Anolis sagrei: one gene and its partner. The protein of the gene in region 1 purifies or fractionates together with the protein of each later gene. This does not show direct contact. Links are inferred from orthologs where the notes say so. Each region holds a gene or a part of one and is shown on either strand. Other genes may lie near its edges.

Region 1 (11,787 bases):
AATCTTTGGCCTATTATATGAATACTAGTCTGAAGTTATACTCCTTTTCTTCTTTGATAAAGAGATAAACCCCAATACTATGCCTTCAGCTAATAGGGTATGTTTAACCTGCAGAAGAGAAGGCTGAGACAAGATAAGATAGCCATATATAAATATGTGAAATTATGTCATAAGGAAGAGGGAGCAGGCTTGCTTATGCTGCCCTGGAGACTAAGGGCCTTTCCACACAGCCATATAACTTATCAGTCTGAACGAATCTCCCCTTATGAACCATCTAGGACAGGGGTCCTCAAACTACGGCCCGCGGGCCACATGTGGCCTGCTGAGGGCATTTATCCGGCCCGTGCGGCCTGCCCTGGCCTCGTACAAAGCCCCTCGCCACTTGCTAGACCCAATCCCCTTGCCTGCTTCACGCCACTCGTCAGGCCTGGCAAGCAAAGAAAGCAGCAACGGGCTTCGCTCGAGGCCAGGCTGCACGGTGCAACTTGCCTTCCTCGTGCTGCCCGTTGTGCGAGCCAGGCAAAGGAGGTGCAGCCTCCCTTGCCAGGCCCGACAAGCAGCGTGAGGCAGGTGAGAAGATTGGGCCTGACAAGCGGCGAGGGGCTTTGTGCGAAGCCAGGCCGCGCGGCGCAACTTATCTGTCTCGCACTGCCCTTCGTGCAAGCTGGGCAAGGGAGGCTACACCACGCGGCCTGTTCTCGCGCAAAGCCCTCAGTGCTTCCATTGCTTGCCAGGCCCGACAGGCAGCGCAAGGCATGTGAGGGGATTGGGCCTGGCAAGCGGCAAAGGGCTTTGCGCGAGGCCAGGCCACGCGGTGCAGCCTCCCTTGCCTGGCTCACACGATGGGCAGCGTGAGGTAGGTAAGTTGCACTGCACGGCCTGGCCTCACACAAAACCCCTTGCCGCTTGCCAAGCCCAATACACTCGCCTGCCTTGCATCGCCCGTCGGGCCTGGCAAGCAATGGAAGCGGTAAGGACCGGGATTGTGGCGCAGCTGGCTGAGTGTCAGCTGCATTAAGATCACTCTGACCAAAAGGTCATGAGTTCGAAGCCAGCCCGGGCTGGAGTGGGTGTCCAGCCATTGTGTAGCCCGTTGTCGACCTTTGCAACCCGAAAGACAGTTGCATCTGTCAAGTAGGAAAATAAGGCACCACCTTGTGTGGGAGGCTAAATTTAACTAATTTATGAGGCCATAAAGAAAAAAGATTCCGGGGAATGTGGAATGCGGAAGAACTTCATTGGTGTCACTGATAGACGACGAAAAGCAGCAGCTCCCCTGGCGGCCAGAAAAAAAGTTAAATAGCCTTGGTGTATTTGTGTGTTAAACGTTGTTTGTCAAAACTGGCATTGAATGGTTGCCATATATGTGTTGACTGTAATCCGCCCTGAGTCCCCTGCGGGGTGAGAAGGGCGGAATATAAGAACTGTAAATAAATAAATAAATAAATAAATAAGGGCTTCGCTAAATTTAGGCCAGGCCATGCAGTGCAATTTATCTGCTTCGCACTGCCCCTCATGCGAGAGGCAAGGGAGGCAACACCACACGGCCTGTTCTCACGCAAAGCCCTCACTGCTTCCATTGCTTGCCAGGCCCGACGGGCACCGCGAGGCAGGTGAGGGGATTGGGCCTGGCAAGGGACTTTGCACAACACCAGGCTGCGCGCACCACAGCAGCACCCGGCTCGCATGAGGGGCAGTGCGAGGCAGGTAAGTTGCACCGTGCAGCCTGGCCTCGTGCAAAGATCTTTTAAACTTTGAAATGAAATATAATTCATGCTTACATATTCCAAAATCCACTTTATAAGGCAGAAAATAGAATTTTTTCCTCATTCTCATTGGAACTATTTTATCTTCAGAAATGCTAAAGCTATATTTTTCTATGTATTCCTATATTGCTTTCAGCAGCCCATCGTTGGGTGTGTGTGCATGTATGTGCCTTCAGGTCTCCTTTTATTTCTGGCGGCCCCATGAATTTAATGTTTTCTTTGAGAGGAAATACTCAAAAATAGTTTTGTCAGTTTCTTTCTCTGAAATATAGCACCTGCTATTCATTTGTGGCTTCCCATCCAAATTCTAACCAGAACTGGCCCTGCTTAGCATTCAAGATCAGAGGCATTTAATCTTTCATTGACTCTGCCAGGTATTATTCTTCTGTACAGTAGTATCTGTTACCCCTGTGACCCAACTTGTACAGGCAGTCCCCAACTTACAAACAAGTTATGTAGGTTTGTTCTCACTGTAAGCTGAGTTTGGTTCAATTTCATTGTTGGAGTTCAGAATGCTCTTGGTTGGCAGGGGAACTATTCATCCCAGCAACTCTCAAATGCTAAAGTCTATTTTCCCCAAGCCTTTCCAGTATTTTCTGTTGGTGATGGGAGTTTGGCAGATAGGCTAATCAGTAAACATATTCATGGATCCCCTGTTGTTATATTAAGACTATTACCTATGCTGTGACATGCTTGAAATCAAAATTTCATTTATTTGTAATGAGAAATAAATATTTCACAATGTATAATTACATATTGTTTTTGTGATTAATCACTATGCTTTATGTTCAGATTGTAACAATAAAAATACATCCTGCATATCAGATATTTACATTACGATTAATAACAATAGCAAAATAAGATATGTGCAGTGTGCATAGGAATTTTGTCATCGTTTTTTTTTTAACTATAGTCCGCCCTCCAATGGTCTGGGGGACAGTAATCTGGTCCGCTTTTTAAAAAGTTTGAGGACCCCTGATCTATGACCTTAAGACCATCTAGGGAGGCCTTGCTCTTGATCCTGCCTTTGTCACAAGCACATCTGGCGGGGACGAGAGATAGGGCCTTCTCAGTGGTGGCCCCTCGACTATGGAACGCCCTCCCTAGGGATATCAGATCGGCCCCCTCCCTATTAACATTTTGGAAAAAAGTCAAGACGTGGCTTTTTGAGCAAGCGTTTGCAAATGCAGAGTAACTGACATGGAAAATGAAACGACTAGATGATGGACTGGACAATGTTTAAACAAGGAGACGCTAATGATTTTTGTTTTATTGATTTGTTGTGGTTTTATATTACATATTAATGTTTTTAATTGTATTTCTGATATTGTGTGCATCAAATTGTTGCCTGTAAACCACCTTGAGTTGCCTGAGGGCTGAGAAAAGCAGTATACAAATACAGTAAATAAATAAATAACCCAAAATATCAAGGCAGAAAATTCCACAATATCTGCTTTCAACAGGGTTATCTGAGTCCACATTGCCATATATTCCAGTTCAAAGCAGATAATGTAGGATTTTAATCAGCTGTGTGGAAGGAGCCCCATTTCAAATCAAGTATTGTGGGATTTTCTGCCTAGATATTTTGGGTTATATGGCTGTGTGGAAGGGCCCTTAGACTCAGTAGTAATGAGTTCAAATGACTGCTGGAGCTCTCCTGGCATGTACAAATGATGCACCAGGAGAAAGGGGAGGAGAGCTATCTTCCTCTCCTCCTTCTCCTGGTGCATCATTTGTTTGCGCCAGGAGAGACTTGGCAGCCCTCTAATGGAGGCCGGGTAAGTTATTTTGCTTGGGTTTTTTTACACTGTTTTGGGGGTCTTTTGGGGAGGGGGTTGGTATTCTCAGTTTTCCAGGCTAACTTAGCCTGGAAAACCGTGGGAATACTGTCTGGACTACAGTCCAGACACCAGAAGTAATGGGTTTATCCAGCGCCTTCCAAGAAGCTGTGGAATAAATCAAGTAACAAATTAGGGTTTTCCTAGTTTGTGGTGAATTAATCAACTGGACAGCCCCATTTTAATTGTAATAACGCCCACATTAAAGGGGCTATGCCCTACAAAAGTTACAGGTTTGATCAGCACTCCTGATCCAGAGAAAGCAAATGCTATTTTTTCTCTATTTCCCCCAAACCTCAGTTAGTAAAATCACAGGCCAAATTACGACAAAATTATGTGAGTTGTAACTCAAGAAAGTAACCTTTCTCAGCGTTGCCCAGATTAGTCATGGGTTACATCAATGGCATAACCATTTTGGTTTCCTTGACAATTGTTATCCCTCAAGAACATAGCAAGATACTAAATCAAAAGAGTGGCAAAACTGTGTTACTGTTATGAAATGTGCTAAAGAGTGGGGTTGGGCAACTGGAAACTTGGGAGACACATTACTCCCCCCACCCACCCCAGAAAACACGGAAGGCTTTCCCCCATTGCCCTAACTCCCATAAAAAAAGATTTGCTCTCAAATGCTGTGGGACAAAATGAAGTGAGTTATTTCCTTTTTCCAAAACGGCTCAAAAAGGCATAACTCTCAAAATGTAATAGAATTACTCTGCATAGCATTTGAGGGCATTTTTTAAAATGGAGCCGCCAGAGGTGGGTGAAATGCCCCAACATCCTCTAAACCAGTGGTTCTCAGCCTGCGGCTCCCCAGGTTTTGGCCTACAATTCCCAGAAATCCCAGCCAGTTTGCCAGCTGTTAGGATTTCTGGGAGTTGAAAGCCAAAACACCTGGGGACCCACAGGTTGAGAACCACTGCTCTAAACCATTTTGGAAGCATTTCGGAGCAAAGGCCTATGGTTCCCACAAAGGCCTGTCCCTGACCCCGACGAGGGAAGAGGAAGTGAGGTGGCGGGCAACATCCCCGGAACCAGTGGCTCCATCCTTAAAACTGGCGGTTGTTTTGGACCAAAATAGGCCACACGTTCTGGCTCTCAAGAACGCCCATGAAAAACCACTGGGCTCCCGCTCCCCTGCCAACAATCCGCAGGCCATTGTCAGGAAGAAGAGAGGGGTTACCCACAATCCTTTGCTCTTCCGGTTTCCCAGCCGCGACCGCCGCTATGGCAACCCCAGCCCTCTTCGTTCCATCTCCCGCTCCTTCGGCGTAGCTCAGCAACAAGGGGGGCTGATTCCGACCAATCCCTGAGCGCCTTGTGGGAAGGCATCCAATCAGAGCAGACCTTACATTTTACACGAGCGGCGCTACGTGACTAACTGAAGGACGGGATTCTGAAAGGGACAAAAAGCTTGGCGGGTGTTGTTTGTAATGCTTATGAGGTTGAAAGGGGAAGTGAAGCTCGCCGCGTGGCTCGTTTACAAATCACGAAGGAGGGCGGCGGCCTAGTTTGCGCGGCGACCAATCAGCGAGTGCCCTTTCAGCCCCTCGGCCCCCTCTTAGGGTTTCTTCACGGCTTGTTGTTCTCTCCAAACAAGGAACTCGTCCTTTCCCTCCCCGTGAATCAGCGCAGGGCAGCCACCTGGAGGGATGCGCAGCCAGTTTCCTTTTGCGCAACGGGGCCAGAAGGGTATAGCCTAGGGAAGTGTATAAACACCCCTGCCGGTTTGGTTTTGCTGCCTGGCTCCCTGTTCAGAAGATGTCACCTCATGTTCTGTCCCTGTGACAGTTAGCTTTTGAAAAATTTGGCATGTTTTGGAAACAAGGGATTGGTGAAAAGCCTCCACCTTTTCTCCACAATAACAACTCTTTCAGGAATGAATTTCCTTTTCGAGGGGTAGATTTCTCTCGCTTTCTGTTGGCTCACCCTGTTCTTATCTATGAGTCATTTGTAAGTCGGAAGTTTGCAGCCTGTGTACGTTGTCTGAAGCAGTGGCTTGAGCCTTGGATTACAGCTTCGGAAACCAGAGTTTGATTTCCTTCTCTGCCAATGGAAACCTTTCAGTCAGCCCATTGTATGCTAATCAAGGTGGTCAGTTGAAACATTCACACCTAGCTCCAGCAGAAAAGAGTCCTTTGTCCCACCCTGGTCATTCCACAGATATATAAGTCCCCTTTCCCTGGTTCTAACAGACCTCACTACCTCTGAGGATGCTTGCCATAGATGCAGGCGAAACGTTAGGAGAGAATGTCTCTAGGTTAGGGGTCCACAAACTTTTTAAACAGAGGGCCAGGTCACAGTTCCTCAAACTGTTGGAGGGCCGGATTATAATTTGAAAAAAGCATGAATGAACTCCTATGCACAATGCACATATCTTACTTGTAGTGCAAAAAACCCCACTTAAAAACAATACAATAATTAATATGAAGAAAATTTTTAACAAATATAACGTTATTAGTATTTCAATGGGAAGTGTGGGCCTGCTTTTGGCTGATGAGAAAGGATTGTTGTTTTTGTTGTTGTTGTTGTGTTCTTTAAAGTTGTTTCAGACCTAGGTTGACCCTGAGCAAGGGCCGGGTAAATTGCCTTGGAGGGCCATATTCGGCCCCCGGGCCGTAGTTTGAGGACCCCTGATCTAGACCATGGCCATACAGTCCGAAGAAACCTTCAACAACCCAGTGATTCCGGCCATGAAAGCCTTCGACAATACATTGAAACCTTTCAGATTATCCTGGGCAAGTTACACACACAGCCCCAGAAAACCTTGCCTTAGGATTGCCATAAGTCAGAAATGACTTGAAGGCATAGAACAACAATGAAATCATACTTTCCAGATTCTATCATACAATGTTTTAATCGGTTGTCCTTTTCCTTCTCTAATCATTCTAGAAACAATTATCTGTGTCACCTTCTCTCTAGTATGAAGAATATTCCTCGTGGAAGTGAAAAGAAATTCAAGCTTTTACACTTGTGTATTTATCATAGAATCAAAGAGTTGGAAGAGACCTCATGGGCCTTCCAGTCCAACCCTCTGCCAAGAAGCAGGAATATTGCATTCAAATCACCCCTGACAGATGGCCATCCAGCCTCTGCTTAAAAGCTTCCAAAGAAGGAGCTTCCACCACACTCCGGGGCAGTGAGTTCCACTGCTGAACGGCTCTCACAGTCAGGAAGTTCTTCCTCGTGTTCAGATGGAATCTCCCCTCTTGTAGTTTGAAGCCATTATTCCGCGTCCTAGTCTCCAAGGAAGCAGAAAACAAGCTTGCTCCATTGAAACCTTTCAGATTATCCTAGGCAAGTTACACACACAGCCCCAGAAAACCTTGCCTTAGGATTGCCATAAGTCAGAAATGACTTGAAGGCATAGAACAACAATGAAATCATACTTTCCAGATTCTATCATACAATGTTTTAATCGGTTGTCCTTTTCCTTCTCTATTCTAGAAACAATTATCTGTATCACCTCTCTAAAATGAAGAATGTTCCTCGTGGAAGTGAAAAGAAATTCAAGCTTTTACACTTGTGTATTTATAATATTGTTGGTTTCTTTGAGCCTCTTTTAAGAAAGAAAAAGCAGCATATAAATAATAATAAATGAAATAAATATTCAAGTTTTCAAACTATGCAACATGAAAGAGGTCAAGGGCACATTTTGCCATATTTATATGGCTCTTCCCAGACCATTTAAGGCTAAGGAGAAAAAGTGAATGGGAACAAATCCCTGTTTAGGTCTTTTTTCAAAAATAAAAAGGTCTTTACTGGGCCTAAATTGGTCCAAGAACCCCAAAACATAGTGAAAATGCCCTTCACACCCCTATAGCACATTTTGAAACAAAGAAAATTGGTTTTTTACAACCTTGAGGGGACTCTGCCCATTTCTGCTCCAGAAGAAAACCCTTAGGCAGAAATGTTGATAACCCAAGATATAATGTTAGGGATCTGTCCAGAGAAGACTGACCACACACTGGGGGCCCTTCCACACAGCCATATAACCCAAAATATCAAGGTAGAAAATCCCGCATTATCTGTTTTGAACTGGGTTATCTGAGTCCACACTGCCACATATTCCAGTTCAAAGCAGATAATGTGGGGTTTTATTCAGCTGTGTGGAAGGGGCCCAGGAGAGAAATGTAATGCAGCAGCCAGGGAAAGTAGGATGAAGACATATATTTACAGTTATTTTCATATACGTACAAGTGTGCAGACTGTCTTGCAGGCAACAGTTTATCAAGGTCTGTTGAAGTAGCAGATATGTCTTGATGGAATTACCCTAAGAGTGATTTCCAGTTTGTGACATCCCTTACACTATGTAATGTGTAATGATGCAGTCCAGTAGGAATTTTCTACCTGGTGTGCTATACTTAAGCCAACCTATTGTTGTGTTACTGAGTAGTATTTTCCACACCCCAGTTGATCATAAATATGTAAAAATATAGGTTAACATTCAGTGATACAACTTTGTAAACAATGATTACTAAACCTTCAGCCCACATATACCTGAAACTACTAAGACATTTATTTGTGGGTTAGGGGAAAAAAACAAGTGGAGGGAAATCCAAACTTGGTTCTCATTTTGTCCTTTTTTTTTTTTTTTATTAAGTTTTTATTTTATGACATTAAAAAGACACACAAATACGACTGCACATACAAACAGCTAATTACCGACACAACACAGTACAAACAAGGTACAAGTACGAATAAACAAATACGTTAAAAATTGGCCAACCTCAGTTGGCCGGACCTCCTCTCTCCCACTCTAGTAGATCCTCTCTTGGTTTTCGTTTACGGTCTACGTTTGTAAATTAAAGTGTATGTATTTTCTCTGCTGTTTGGTTCTAGTATAGGTTTGTTAAACAGTGTCCTTCTTACTTTAAGAACTTTCGTGCATCATTTCTCTTTATTTCTCGCTCTCGGTTCGTTTTTCTCTCAAGATTCCCAGTTTCTAGTTAAATTTTTTTTATTATTATTATTATCTTGCTCCTTTTCATGATCTGTATTGATTTGTTCTTTAGAATGTTGTTAAGTATAAAAACAGAGGTTTTATCTGGATATTTGCATCGAATCTTTTGGTTTGCGGGGCGATTCACTTAGGAACGACTATGCTCTATATTTAGGTCTATGTATTTACCAACAGTGTATGACAGTTAGGGCTATGGCTGTGGGGGGTGGTGGTGGTATTAACCCATTTATAGTTTTAGCTTTTTCCCCTCCAACCATTCCTCAACCGGTGTCCAGTTTGTCTCTGCTATTGGTATATTTCGTGTAGTTGAAAGAATGTATGATAAATGATCCATGTTCCTTATATCTACTATTTTATTAATCCAATCTGCCTCCAATGGAATTTCCTCTTTTCTCCAAACTTTGGCGAGAAGTATACGAGCCGCCGTGACCAGGTAGACAAATAGCTTATCAGTCCCTTTGTCCCATGTTTTCCCTGTTAAACCCAATAAAAATATCTCTGGATTTAGTGGGATGTTTTTTCTTAATATTTTTTGGCAGTTTTCTTGGATTGTTTTCCAGTAAGCTTTTACTTTCACACAGGTCCACCACATGTGTTTGTAGGTTCCCTCCTCTAACCCGCATTTCCAACATTTATTACACATGTTCTTTGAAAATTTGGCAATCTTGGAGGGCGTTAGATACCACTGGTGTACCATTTTAATCCAGTGTTCTTTGATCTCATAGGCATATGAGTAGTTTGTTTTTACGATCCAGATGGTGTTCCATTCTTCTAGGGATATTGTTCTCCCTATCAATCTTGCCCATTTAACCATATATTCTTTAATTCTCTCCTCCTCTGTAGACCATTCAAGTAGTAGCCCATAAGCTTTGGTGATAAATTTTCTTGGGTTTTCTATTAATCTATCCCAAGCGGATAGGCTTTCCGTGAGACCTATTTGTCTGTCTTTTGCAAAATACTCTTTCAATTGCCAGTATTGGAGCCAAGTGAGGTTGTTATATTTTTCTCTTAACTCTTCTAATGATTTCATTCTTACTTCCTTTCCAACCTTGACAAGGAGGTCTTTATACGTGGGCCATATTCTCCAGCCTATTTCTCTCCTTTGATGAGCCTCCAAGGTGGAGAGCCATAGCGGTGTTTTTGGGTACATTCTCTCCTTGTATTGGTCCCAAACTTTCAGGAGGGCCGCATTTTGTCCTTTAAAGTGTACTGAAGATGATTTTCTTTCCAAATATGAGACTGCACCTATATCTACCAATAAGATTATTTACTGTGCATAATCTGCTTTTCTACTTACATGCCTGTGTGTATGTAAGTATCTACACACATGTACATACACACATTTTTACTTAACTGCAGTGTTTTACTGCATTTCATCCTAGGTAGGTAAATGGAAGGAACCTGCACCAAAATATTTTAGTTTGGAGTGCTTCTTCAAGGTCTCTGCCATTCCACTTCTCTGTATCCCATTTTTTTTCTTCTCCCACTCTTTTCAACTGTCGGTATTTTTTATGAAAATACTAGACTCACACCCCTTCTACACTGTCATATAATCCAGTTCAAAGGAGATCATCAGGATTTTATATAGCAGTGTAGAAGGGGCCTCTATGCATTGACCTGGTCCCCCCTTAATTTTGTCCTTAGTAATCTTTAAAAATAACTCAGGTCCCTTCCACACAGTTATATAAAATCCACATTTAAGTGCATTATATGGCAGTGTGGAGTCAGATAATCCAGTTCAAATCAGATATTGTGAATTATCTGCCTTGATATTCTGGGTTATATGGCTGTTTGGAAGGGCCCCCAGGCCCTTGGGAAGTCAGACTTGGCCACGGTGGTCCACGCTCTTGTTACAACCCGAGTAGATTACGCACTCTACATGGGATTGCCTTTGAAGGTTGCTCGGAAGCTCCAACTACAACCGACGGCAGCCAGGTTGCTCACTGGAGTGGCATACAGAGAGCATACAACCCCTCTCCTAGGCCAGCTCCACTGGTTGCCAATTTGCTACCAAGCACAATTCAAAGTGCTGGCTTTAGCCTATAAAGCCCTGAACAGTTCTGACCCATCTTACCTGTCTGAACTTATCTCCTGCTATAAAATGTAGCGAAGTTTAAGATCAACGGGAGAGGCCCTGCTCTCGATTCCACCATCCTCAAAAATGCATCTGGTGGAGACGAGAGACAGGGCCTTGTCAGTGGTAGCCCCTCGCCTGTGGAACTCTCTATCCAGTGACATTAGATTGGCCCCCTCCCTCTTGTCCTTTAGAATGAAACTCAAAATCTTGTTATGGGACCAAGCATTCAAACAGGAGAGGCAGCAATTTGGAATGAGACCCAATTTGTGTGCAAGACAATGGACTGACCTGCACTGTGATTTCAAACCTGTGTGATTTAAACAATGTTTTAGTAATTTTAAACCATTAATTAATTTTTTTAATTTGTTTTATCATTTATTACTGTTGTTTGCATTAAATGAATGCCTGTTGTGAAGCCGCCTTGAGTCCCCCTCCGGGGGTGAGAAGGACAGGATACAAATATGCTAAATAAACAAACAAACAAATAAATAAATAAAGTAGATTATCTGTTTTGAACTGGCCCTGTAAGGGACCTCACTGTGAACCAGTAAATTATATCTGTAGACAGGGAAATAGCATTATCTCAGGTCCCTTCTGCACTGTCTTATAATCCAGATTCTCAAAGCAGGTAATCCACATTATTTGCTTTGAACCAGATTATATGAGTCTACCGTACCATATAATCCTGTTCAAAGCAGATAATCTGAATTTTACATGGCACTGTAGAAGGGGCCTCAGACTTTGTTGTATTCCCTTCCCCAAAGCTGCATGTGGCAAAAGAGAACATACACGCATTTGATTAATTTAGGCCCCATCTACACTGCCATATAATCCCATTTTTGAATCCAGATTATCTGCTTTGAACTGGATTATTTAGCAGTGTAGACTTATATAATCAAGTTCAAAGCAGATAATCTGAAAGTGGATTACATGGCAGTGTAGATCCAACCTTAGTGGGTGATCTATGGAAGAAACTGGACAGAATGTGTGTCCCTGTTGAGTCAGCAGGATTTTTCAGTGGATTTCAATGCCATTGAAATTAAGCCAGTTTGGTGCATTTGAGCTTCCAATAGAAAGACATTCCTCATCCAGGATGCTACAGGTGAGAAAGGCCTTCCCCACATTTGTACACAATGCATTGATCCC
Region 2 (12,419 bases), on another chromosome or scaffold:
CATCCCTTTCTTTGAGTAGAGTGGCAAAAAGTGCTTTGGAAGAATAAAAAAGAAGCAATGGTTCCCTCTATTTCTCTGATTCAAAAAGTGCCACTTCTGGCCTTTTTGAAGGCCAGAGTGGTAAAATGGTGGCTGAGCAGCAGGCCCCAAGGCAGTGCTGGCACTTTTCTCTCTCTGCATGATGACTCTCAACTTATCCATGGGTCATACCACAATCGATGATGTTGGCCTACAAACCAGCTTTCAACTTATACCTAAGGTTGACTTATACACAAGTATATATGGTATATTTCAGAGGAAGGAACTAGAGAAACCACTTCTGAGTATTCCTTGCCTGAGAAAGCCCTGAGAAATTCATGGGATGTCTTAAGTCAAGAGGCAACTTAAAGACACACATAATACAACTACTACCCTAGAAGTTTAAGTAAGATCTTCACATCCTATCCTGAACTCAACTATTTTTGTACATTTTCTTCCTAGCGGTCTGAAAGTATTGCAGGACTTCATGTTTAAATATTTAAGTGATATATAGCATCAATAAGGATTCCCCTGCCACTATCCTAACCTTGATGGGTGGTACATGTGTGCCTGTCTACCCTTAAATGAAAAAGGGGGAAAGTAAAAAAAAGCCTACATCTTCCCATGTCCTGATGGTTGCAATGTGGACACCATGCCTGTTTGTGTATGTGTGGGGGACTTCAAGTCATGTATTAACTTCTAATGACCCCATGAATTCCATATGGTTTTCTTAGGCAAATAATACTCTGATCATTTGGCTCACTTCTTCTGAAGTGTAGCCTAAAGCAATAGGTATTTGTGGGAAGTCTCCCATCCAAGTAAAAATCAGAGTTGACTGCTTAGTTTTCAAGATCTAGTGTGTTTAGGGCACTCAAGTCTGTAAACAATCCCTACAGGGATCTCAAACTGCACATGGTGGTCTAAATTCTATCGCTAATTCCAAACACAGAAGTCCCACTTAATGAATAGTAGCAGTCAACATATATAAGTTCCATCTGCTCAAAAGGTCTACCTCAGTTAGATTCAAGGCTATATAGGTAGTTTAATTTTTAGAACTGTAATTGGAAGCTGGCATGACAAGTTGTCAAAACACACTTGAAAATATCTCTAACAAGTTTTGCCAGTCCCCCTTTTCACACAGTGCTGACAGATCAGCTGTCTCTATCAAAAAGAGTGAGGTGTTACTTTACTACTTCTGGAACATACAGCTAGATGCTTTCTTGATTCTTTGAGGGAAGCCAAGTCAAGTTTTTTCTACGTAGTGTCTCAAGTGAGTATGGTCCCACTTAGTTACAAAGCAATCAGCATTGTATGAATGTATGCCCTAATTGTGGATTTTGAATTCACAACAAAAATGAAACAATGACCAGCTGAGGTTACAAAATAATAACCATGGACTACTCTTGTGCCTACACAATAAAGGGATTTGTGAATCAACTACTAACCCTATGTTGCTGTTGTTGGCTTTCAAGTTTCCAATTTATGGCAACATTATCATTGGATTTAAAGTTTTCTACCATGGTCTTCCTCTAAGACTGACAGAGCATGACTTACCCAAGGTCACCCAACAGGTTCTCATGTCTGAGTGGGTCACCTCCAGAGTCACAATCCAACAAATCACTAAGCCATGCTGTCTCTCGTTAACCCTATGTGTGTTGTGCCTCCAAGGTACACACTGGCTTAACACAAGTCTACGAATTTTGTAGATTTTTCTTAATACTTTTGTATTCCTCTGAGATGTAGCCTCCAGTATTCATTTGCCATCTACAGACTAATCGGGGCTAACTTTTTTCAGCTGGACCCTTAAGGGTATTCAGAGACTCATCCCTAAACCCATAGGAATCTTTTCAATTGTCAGAAAATATTGCCATCCGTATTTTTCACCAAAGAGGCACAGGCAGACATCCTTAGTCCCAGCCGCCTCATAAGGGAAAAGCTGTCACCACACCCCCTTTCCCATATTGTGAAAACAGAGAATCCACCACCTTTGTTTCCACCTGACTGTGTAGGTGTGCCTTGAAGTTACATGTTGACTTATTGAAACCCCATGAACCTTTTAAAGGTTTCTTGGTCCTTTTACCAATTTATTCTATAAAGCATAGCCTCCAGTATTTATCTTCCATTTCCCATCTACGGACTAACCAGGGCTGACCCTGTTTAGCTTCCAAGTCCAGACTGGACCTGGTGTATTCCTTAACCCTATAGGAATCTTTAAATTGTCAGAAAACATTATCACCCATCTTTTACACTGACATCCTCAGAAAGAAAGAAAAAGCCATTGCCACACCCCTTTTCCACCTATTCTTAAAGCAGAGCACCCATCTCCTTCATCTCCATTTGAACTGCCAGGCCATGAGAAGGAGCAGAACAAACAGCAACAATACAGCCTTATCTTACCTTTCTCAACTTATCCCTCCACAAAAATTGCATGTGCCAACTCACTCTGAGGGACCGGGGAGCAAAAACACTGTCAAACCGACATTGAAGAGAGTGGCTTCTTTAAGACCCAGATGGTGATTACACAAACCACAGAGCACTGCTACACACTTTGAGGGCTTTCCTTCTTTCATGCACTTTTGTGGGAGTTTGCTGTTCAACTGCTGCCACAGTTTGAAGCAAACTTCAAACTGCATTAAGTTGTCAAGTGTAGCATGAATCCTTGCTTGCCACCCACCATCCCTTTACCTTTTGGGTGCATCCCAAACGCCGCTGATAGCCTTGTTGCCCTTGAAGCAGTGGTTCTCAACCTGTCAGCCCCCACGTGATTTAGCCTATAACTCCCAGAAATCACAACCAGTTTACCAGCTGTTGGGATTTCTGGGAGTTGAAGGCCAAAACATCTGGGACCCACAGGTTGAGAACCACTGCCTTGGAGGGTCTGGAGCCCAGAACTAGAACAGTGGAGACTCAAGACCGCTTTCCCCACATTCACCTAAAGCAGTGGTTCTCAACCTGTGGGTCCTTAGATGTTTTGGCCTTCAACTTCCAGAAATTCTAACAGCTGGTAAAATGGTTGGGATTTTTGAGAGTAGTAGTCCAAAATATCTGGGGACAAACAGGTTGAGTACATCTGGTCATCAACCGTAATAGTTTACTTATTTACTTACTCAGGTTGAGAACCACTGACCTAGAGAAACCTGGGGTCCAGAGAAACATAGGATTGGAGGAATCATAGAGTTGGAAGAGACCACAAGGAGCCTCCAGACCATGCAGGAACACACATCAAAACAACCCCCACAGATGGCTAGCCAATCTCAGCTTTAAAACCTGCAGAGGAGACTCCTCCACACTCTGGGCAAGCATATTTCACTGCCAAAGAGTTCTTATCACCCGGAAGTAATGTTTAGGTGTGATCTCCTTTCCAGCAATTCGAATTCATTGCTCCCTGCCTTAGTCTCCAGAGCAGTAGGAAACTAACTCAATGTGTATCATCAAAGGCTTTTATGACTGGAATCACTGGGTTGCTGGGAATTTTCTGGGCTGTGTGGCCATGTTCCAGAAGCATTCCTCCTAAAGTTTCACCTGCATCTATGGAAGGCGTCCTCAGAGGTTGTAAGGTCTGTGGGAAACTAGGAAAATGGAGTTTATATATCTGTGGAATATCCAGGGTGGGGGAAAGAACTCTTGTCTGTTTGGGGCAGGTGTGAATGTTGCAACTGGCCACCTTGATTAGCATTTAATGGCCTTGCAGTTCCAAGGTCTGACTGATTCCTGCCTGGGGGAATCCTTTGTTGGAAGGTGATTAGCTGGCCCTGATTGTGTCTTGTCTGGAATTCCCCTGTTTTTAAGTGTTGTTCTTTATTTCACATTTTGATTTTATAGTTTTTTTTAATACTGGTAGCCAGATTTTGTTCATTTTCATGGTTTCCTCCTTTCTGTTGAAATTGTCCACATGCTTCTGGATTTCAGCGGCTTTTCTGTGTAGTCTGACACGGTGGTTGTTAGAGTGGTCCAGCATTGTTTGTGTTCTCAAACAATATGCTGGGTCCAAGTTGGTTCAACACCTCCCAAGAAAGTATTCCCCCAGGCAGGAAGCAGCCAGGCTTTGAAATTGCAAGGGCATTAAATGCTAACCAAGGTGGCAAACTGTAACATTCATACCTACTTTTAATATATGTGTGTTATAGCGACAAATATTATGCTTAAATTTTGTTCGTTAATCTTATGGCTAAGTTGTTTTTACTCTGTATGTTTTGAGATGTTACTTGGGAACCGCTCTGAGTCCCCTCGGGGAGATGGAGCGGTATATGAATAAAGTTGTATTGTTATTATTATTACCTCAAACAGACAATAGTTCTTTTTCCCACCTTGGACATTCCACAGATATATAAACCAATAGACTTCACAACCTCTGAAGATGTTTGCCATAGATGCAGGTGAAACGTCAGGAGAGAATGCTTCTGGAACATGGCCATACAGCCTGGAAAACTCACAGCAAACCAAAAACTCGAGGTGACATCTCTCAACCATTTAAAGCAGGCATGGACCAACTTCAGTCCTCTCTCTCCGGGAGCCCCCGGTGGCACAGTGGGTTAAACCCCTGTGCCGGCAGGACTGAAGACCAACAGGTCGCAGGTTCGAATCCGGGGAGAGGCAGATGAGCTCTCAGCTCCTGCTCCTCATGCGAGGACATGAGAGAAGCCTCCCACAAGGATGATAAAAACGTCAAATCATCCAGGTGTCCCCTGGGCAATGTCCTTGCAGACGGCCAATTCTCTCACACCAGAAACAACTTGCTCCTGACACGACAAAAAAAAAAAGGTCCTCTCTCCAGGTGTTGTGGACTTCAACTTCCACCAATCTTAACAGCCTCGAAGGGGCTTGAGGCTGTTAGGAATGGTGGGAGCTGAAGTTTAAAACACCTGGAGGGAAGGCCGAAGTTGGCCCATGCCTGCTTTAAACACAGGTAACACATCCCCTCTCGGCCTTCTTTTCTCCAAGCTCGCCTCCAAACCCCAAGGGCCATGCAGGTGGTAGACACAACCAAAGCAGCCCCGACAGATGGCCTCGCCTGAAAGCCCTAGGCCGCATACTGGCACTCACTGGCCAGCCGAGGTCCGTCCATGCTCGCTCCTCCCCCGGCGCCGCTTCCTGCTGCTGCTGCTCCTGCTGCTGCGGCCAAGTCGGGGCCCTTCTTGGGGCCTGCCGCCAGCGAGGCCCCGTGCGGGCCTGGGTACCCCCCGCTGTGCCCCGGCGAGGCGGCCACGGGTCCCGGCCCCAGCCCCAGCGGGAGCCCCCCCAGCGCCACGGCGGGCGGGAGAGGCGGCGGGGGCGGGCCCGGGCAGGCGGCCGAGGCGGCGCCGCCGGGCTCCTCGTGCAGGAACTGGCACTCCTCGCCGTAGAAGCACGTCTTGTCCTTGGCGTAGTAGCGGCAGAACTTGAGCTTCAGGCCGCCGGGGAGGCCTCCCGCGCCCGCTGCCACTGCGGGGAGGCCCAAGCCCGGCCCCGGAGCCAGAGCAGGCCCGCCCGCCGCCGCCGCCGCCGGGGAGGAACAGGGCAGCCCCGCGCTGTTCATGGCGCCGACGCTACAGCGCCATGAACAGCCGGGCCGCCTCAGGAGGCCCCGCCGTGGCCGGACGAGGAACCATGAGGGAAAGAGGAGGAGGAGGAGGAGGGAAGGCCGCTGCCGCCGCCTCCTCCGCCGCCACTGTCAAGGCCCAAGGCTGGGCAGCTCAAGCGGAGGGCTTCGCTCACGCGGAGAAAGGCCCGAAGGATGTCGCTGAGGGGGAAACGGAGCTGGGCCTCGAATGGTCCCTGTTGCGGTGGCGGCAGCGACGGCGGCGGCGGGGTTGTTTATGCCATTTTCCTCTTCCTGAGCTGCCGCCTCAGCGCGCCTGCGCCACAGCCAGAGCGGGGGCCGATGGGTAATCCGGGCCTGGAGCAGGAAAAGGCGTCCAAAGAGGCCTGGCCCTCAGAGAGAGAGAGAGAAAGAGAGCCTTTCCAGGCAGGCCCCCTATATCCTAGATTCTGATCCCAGGTTTTCTGTTTATCCCAATTATCTGGGGCTCCTTCCACACAGCTGAGTAAAATCCCACACTGGAATATATGACAGTTCAAAACAGATTTTCTGAGATTGTCTGCCTTGATATTCAGGGTTATATGGCTGTGCAGACTCCTATACCTAAAGGTAAAGGTTGTGTCCGACTCTGGGGGTTGGTGCTCATCTCCATTTCGAAGCCAAAGAGCCGGCGTTGTCCGTAGACACCTCCAAGGTCATGTGGCCAGCATGACTGCATGGAGCGCCCGTTATCTTCCCACCAGAGCGGTACCTATTGATCTACTCATATTTGCATGTTTTCAAACTGCTAGGTTGGCAGAAGCTGAGGCTAACAAGGGGAGCTCCAAGGTCATTTACCCGGCTCTCGCTTAGGGTCAACCTAAGTCTGTAACAACTTGAAAGCACACAACAACAACAATCCTATCTCATCAGCCAAAAACAGGCCCACACTTCCCATTGAAATACTTGTTGTTGTTGTTGTTCATTCGTTCAGTCGTCTCCGACTCTTCGTGACCTCATGGACCAGCCCACGCCAGAGCTCCCTGTCGGCCGTCACCACCCCCAGCTCCCTCAAGGTCAGTCCAGTCACTTCAAGGATGCCATCCATCCATCTTGCCCTTGGTCGGCCCCTCTTCCTTTTGCCTTCCACTTTCCCCAGCATAATTGTCTTCTCTAGGCTTTGCTGTCTCCTCATGATGTGGCCAAAGTACTTCAACTTTGTCTCTAGTATCTTTCCCTCCAATGAGCAGTCGGGCTTTATTTCCTGGAGGATGGACTGGTTGGATCTTCTCGCAGTCCAAGGCACTCTCAGAACTTTCCTCCAACACCACAGCTCAAAAGCATCTATCTTCCTTCGCTCAGCCTTCCCTAAGGTCCAGCTCTCACATCCGTAGGTTACTACAGGGAATACCATGGCTTTGACTAGGCGGATCTTTGTTGCCAGTCTGATGTCTCTACTCTTTACTATTTTATCGAGACTGGACATTGCTTTACTATTTTATCGAGACTGGACAAAAACCACTTTAAAAATACAATAATTAAAATGAAGAACAATTTTAACAAATATAAATTTATTAGTATATATTGAAATACTAATAAATTTATATTTGTTAAAATTGTTCTTCATTTTAATTATTGTATTTTTAAAGTGGTTTTTGCACTACAAATAAGATATGTGCAGTGTGCATAAGAATTCATTCATGTTTTTTTTTCCAATTATAATCCAGCCCTCCAACAGTTTGAGGGACTGTGACCTGGCCCTCTGTTGAAAAAGTTTGTGGACCCCTGCTTTAGGATATAGTACAATATACAGGGTGAGGCAGCATAACTTCCTTTTTTAAAATGCACACCATTCAGTCAGTTGAAGACGTAACAGAGCACTAGTGGTCTCATTTGAGAGGCAGGAGTATAAAGTTTTGTCCTGACACAGTTCAGTCGCCATCATGCGCTGGAACAGTGAGGAGCGTGCTTTTGCCGTTGAGGCCTATTTTTGAACGGATTTGGAGTGGCCAGCCTGCTCTCCAGATATGGCTCCTTGTGATTTTTTCTATGGAGTTTTTTGAAATCCCGTGTTTATGTGAACCGTCCAAGGACTCTACAAGATTTGAAGACCAACATCCAGGAAGAAATTGCCAACATAACGCCTGCTATGCTGGGAAGAGTCATGACAAACGCCAGAAATCGGTTTACTCAGTGTATGGAGAATGGGGGACGTCACCTACCTAATTTGATCTTCAAAACTACATAAAACAAAACTTTAGGTATGCGCCTACATTATAAAAAAAATTAAATAAAATAATTCTGATTCATACAATGGGTTTTATTAAGTTTTGAAAAAAGGAAGTTATGCTGCCTCACCCTGTATTACATAATACAAATAGTATAATATACTGGTCGTGTATTATATATATTGTGGTATAATAGTATAGTACAATATTTTTTTTGTCGTGTCAGGAGCGACTTGAGAAACTGCAAGTCACTTCTAGAGTGAAAGAATTGGCCATCTGCAAGGATGTTGCCCAGGTGACACCCGGATGTTTTGATGTTTTACCATCCTTGTGGGAGGCTTCCCTCATGTTCCCGCATGAAGAGCTGGAGCTGATAGAGGGAGCTCATTCGTGCTCTCCCTGGATTCGAACCTGCGACCCGTCGGTCTTCAGTCCTGCCAGCACAGGGGTTTAACCCACTGTGCCACCGGGGGCTCATACAATATAATAATTGTATATTATATATTACATGTAATATTACTGATAATATTGCAGTATAGTGGAGCCCCCAGTGGTGGTTCAAATCTGAACCAAAAGGTCAGTGGTTCAAATCTGAGGAGTGGGGTGAGCTCCTGCTTTTAGCCCCAGTTTCTGCCAACCTAGCAGTTTTAAAATATGCAAATTTTATATAAAACATTTATATTCTGCCCTTTTCACCCAGAAGGGAACTCAGGGCAGAGCACCACATATATACAGCAAAAATTCAATGCCAGAACATAAAATAAACTATAAATATACATACACACTTAAATCAGTTATCTCCACTTTAAAATCAATTGTTTAACACCATCTCAGATCAGCCATACCATATCCAGCCAGCACGGAAAGTTTCCCATTGTTGCCTTATTACACTGTCCCAAAGGCTTGGTCCCACAGCTGAGTTTTACCATCTTAAGGTAACAGCAATCAATGCAGTCATGCCGACCGCATGACTTCAGAGGCATCTACTGACAATGCTGGCTGTTTCATTTAGAAATGGAGATGAGCACCACCTCCCAGAGTCGGACATTATTAGACTTAATGTCAGGGGGAAACCCTGTACAATATTATAATGTTTATTCACTCAATCGCGTCCGACTCCTTGTGACCTCATGGAACAACACATCAGAGCTCCCTGTCAGCCGTCGCCACCCCCAGCTCCTTCAAGGTCAAGCCAGTTCACTTCAAAGATAACATCCATCTATCTTGCTCTTGGTCGGCCCTTCTTCCTTTTTCCTTCAATTTTCCCCAGCATCATTCTCTTCTCCAAGCTTTCCTGTCTTCTCATTATGTGGTCAAAGTACTTCATCTTTGCTCCTAATATCCTTCCCTCCAGTGAGCAGTTGGGCTTTCTTTCCTGGAATATGAACTGGTTTGATTTTCTCATTGTCCAAGACGTATCAAGGGTTAGTTTGTTTACTATGGAGAATACTCATGGCTTCTCATATCTGGACTTTAAACAACTGCATCTGTTACAACATGAGTTTATGGGTGTTTAGTTGGAATTAAAGCTTATTGAATTCAGTAGCACTTATTCCCAGATAAGGGATTAAACCACACAATCCTATAGTCAAATACTAAACTTGATAATGGGTAGTGGGACTGGATAATTGGACATATAATTGCAGCCTCATTATATTGTCCTGTGGTTTTGAGGTAGGTTTTTGTGTGTGGTCAGTATCAAAGAAAAAATGACTAAAATGGGATGAAAATTTTTTTTATATACTGTATATACTCGAGTATAACCCTAGTTTTTCAGCCCTTTTTTAGGCTGAAAAAAACCCTCTTGGATTATACTCAGGTGAGGGTCCTGGCAGGTTGGCATGAGGCTGAAAGAAGGGCTTTTTTCAGCCCCACGCCTTTCTGCCAGGACCCTCACTTTTCCACACAGCAACCTAGCTCTCCTTCCATTCCTCCTCTCTCGCGCAGCTCACACCTTCCTCTCCTCCTCTCTGCCTCCAGTTTTCCTCACTTTTCCTTATTCATACACACACAGCATTTTCCACAACATGTATAGTTAAAATAAACTATGGTAATTATTGGAAGGATACGTAAACACATTTACATCGAAGAAGGTTAGAATAAGGATTTAATCAGATAAGGCAGTCTTATCTTAAATTACAGTTTTATTTAAATATTCAAAAACATTTAACCTACTGATGCATCAATTAATATAATTTTATTGGTATCTATTTTTATTTTGAAATTTACCAGTAGCTGCTGCATTTCCCAGCCTCAGCTTATACTCGAGTCAATACATTTTCCCAGTTTTTTGTGGTAAAATTAGGTGCCTCAGCTCACATTCGAGTCAGCATATACTCGAGTATATACAGTATTTGGTTATGCTAATGCATATGTATGTATCTTTATGAGTGGCATGAAGAATCAGCACACAGCACCAAAAATGGCAGGTAAGAGCAAATCCTCAAAAGATGCAGAATCCATTGTGTGTTTTGCATGTTGGATTTATTTTTTTAATGAATACCTGTATTTGCACTATGTCCATAATGAAATATCTTAGAGATGTGTCCCAGGTCTAAACATGAAATTCATTTATGTTTCATACACACCTTGCACACATAGCCTGAAGGAAATGTTATACAATTGTTTATGTTGAAGACAATAGTTTTGTACAGATCTATCAGAAAACAAATGTGTATCTTAGCAATGTGTGCAGACAGTTTTAGATTGCTTGTCTTTTAAGTCGCTTCCTGACTATCAACTCTGTGTGTCATGAACTCCAACTCTCCCTTGGGAATGGCTGCATTCTCTTGAAATGGTACTCACATATTAACTAGATATTCTTATAGGTGCACAATATCCTCATTGCTCCTAATAATGACATTTGCATTCTGTATTCCTTCCCGAAACCAAATCACTTTGCATATCTATCAGCACATACCACAGAGTGGCAGGCTGCTTCCATCTAAGCTCCAGTACATGTAATGCTATCAGAGTTATTTATTGGAAACATTTTTTCTCTCTCTGAAGTTTGACTTTTTTTTTACTTTTAAAAATCTGCACTTTTTTCAAAAGGTTTGATTGAAAACAATGATTCATTATTCCTAAGATTACTATGATGAAACAATAAATTTAGGAGAACAGCTTCATCTACAGTGTGCCATTAATGGGACTTGCATTTTGGTGAAGCACTACTACTCTGACAGAGAGGGTAAGGAATTTGTAAAATTACAACTCCCATGATTCCAAAGCATTGGGCCATGGCACTTTGCACCAACATTGCAAAGCACACAAAAAGAATTGACTTTACAGTTTTTCTCAATACTGGAAGGCAAGGAGCCAGTTTGTGTGTGTGTGTGTGTGTGTGTCAGGAGTGACTTGAGAAACTGCAAGTCGCTTCTGGTGTGAGAATTGGCCATCTGAGTGAGAGAAATCTACTCATAGGAAGGGAAATTAACTCCTGAAAGAGTTATCATGGGAAAAGGAGCCTCAGCTGAAGCTTTCTCGCCAATCCTGGTTTCCACAACAAGCCAAGTTTTTCAAAATCCAATGATCACAGGGACAAAAAATGAGAAATTTTCTGAACCGGGGCACAGGCAGCAAAACAAACACCACAGGGGTGTTAATCCTTCCTTATGCTAACCAAAGCTAATTTGCATATATATATTTGACTGGAGCTACACTTAAAAATGTACCTGCTCTGGTTTATATACAAATTCACCATAAGAACAAACTTACAGAATCTATTATGTTCTTACCTTGGGAACTGCCTCCCTTTTTTTGCCCCACTCCTCTCCCACTGGAAAGTGAATAGTCCCCAGAAAAAAAATCACTGGCTCACACTCATTCCACACACGAATGCATATAGCTGGTTTTCAAAACTAGAATTTCCAGCTTCTAGCTGGTTTGGCCTTTGGGTCACTGTGTGTTTCTTGTAGGGTTTCAGAGAAGAAAATTTCCCTCTGGACATGCCACACTTGCATTGTTGTGGTTGTTATGTGCCTTTAAGTCATTTCTAACTTATGGCAAAGCTAAACAAAATCTTTCACAAGGTTTTCTGGATTTGAGAGTGTGAGTTCCCAGAGCCTAGCAAGGGATTGACTCTGGTCTCCAGAGTTGTAGTTCAGTGCTCAATCCACTACACTACATCCACTCTACCCTTGACTAAAGAAATATGTGTCTTCCATCTGTGTATCTGTGTCTTCCATCTGTACAGATTTGAACCCACCCAGAAAGTGAAGTCTTCACCTTTCTAGAATTACAACATTCAGCTGTTTTACAGCTGTTTCTTAGAAGCCCATATTTATCATCAAAGTTGGTTATTCTAAGAAACAGATAACAGTAAACATTGGGGTCTGAGCTTTCTTGTTTTTCTTTCCTTCCCTTTCTTCGCTGTCATATCCTTTTAAGAATGTATGCCAGAGAGGCTTTTTGTTATCTACACACTGCCTTAGACTCCTTTCTATTTGAAGAATGAAGCTAACACTATAAACAAACAAGCAAAATGAACACCTACACACATACTTAGTTTTATGATCCTAGTATTTAATACACATCACCACTCATTGTAGGAACAGTCAATGAATCTATGTCGGTAGGACAGTGAATTCACACCTAGATTTATTCCAGACTTTAAAGGAGCAAGTCAAGACCCTGAACCTATTTGGAAATAAGGCTCAGTACCTTTTTGTTGTTGT

What was found.
Region 2: the proteins of PAN2 (region 1) and PAN3 purify together in Homo sapiens (co-immunoprecipitation; 5 studies listed by BioGRID and IntAct, with this or other methods). This does not show direct contact. The link is inferred for Anolis sagrei from reciprocal best matches to the Homo sapiens genes PAN2 and PAN3.

Annotation. Positions count from the first base shown.
Region 1 is NC_090022.1:138,615,434-138,627,220, forward strand, and holds the start of PAN2 (PAN2-PAN3 deadenylation complex catalytic subunit PAN2), read right to left. Parts: upstream 4,913-11,787; 5' UTR 4,785-4,912; intron 1-4,784. UniProt on the Homo sapiens protein: Catalytic subunit of the poly(A)-nuclease (PAN) deadenylation complex, one of two cytoplasmic mRNA deadenylases involved in general and miRNA-mediated mRNA turnover.
Region 2 is NC_090023.1:31,523,316-31,535,734, reverse strand, and holds the start of PAN3 (PAN2-PAN3 deadenylation complex subunit PAN3), read right to left. Parts: upstream 5,867-12,419; 5' UTR 5,534-5,866; coding exon 5,062-5,533; intron 1-5,061. UniProt on the Homo sapiens protein: Regulatory subunit of the poly(A)-nuclease (PAN) deadenylation complex, one of two cytoplasmic mRNA deadenylases involved in general and miRNA-mediated mRNA turnover.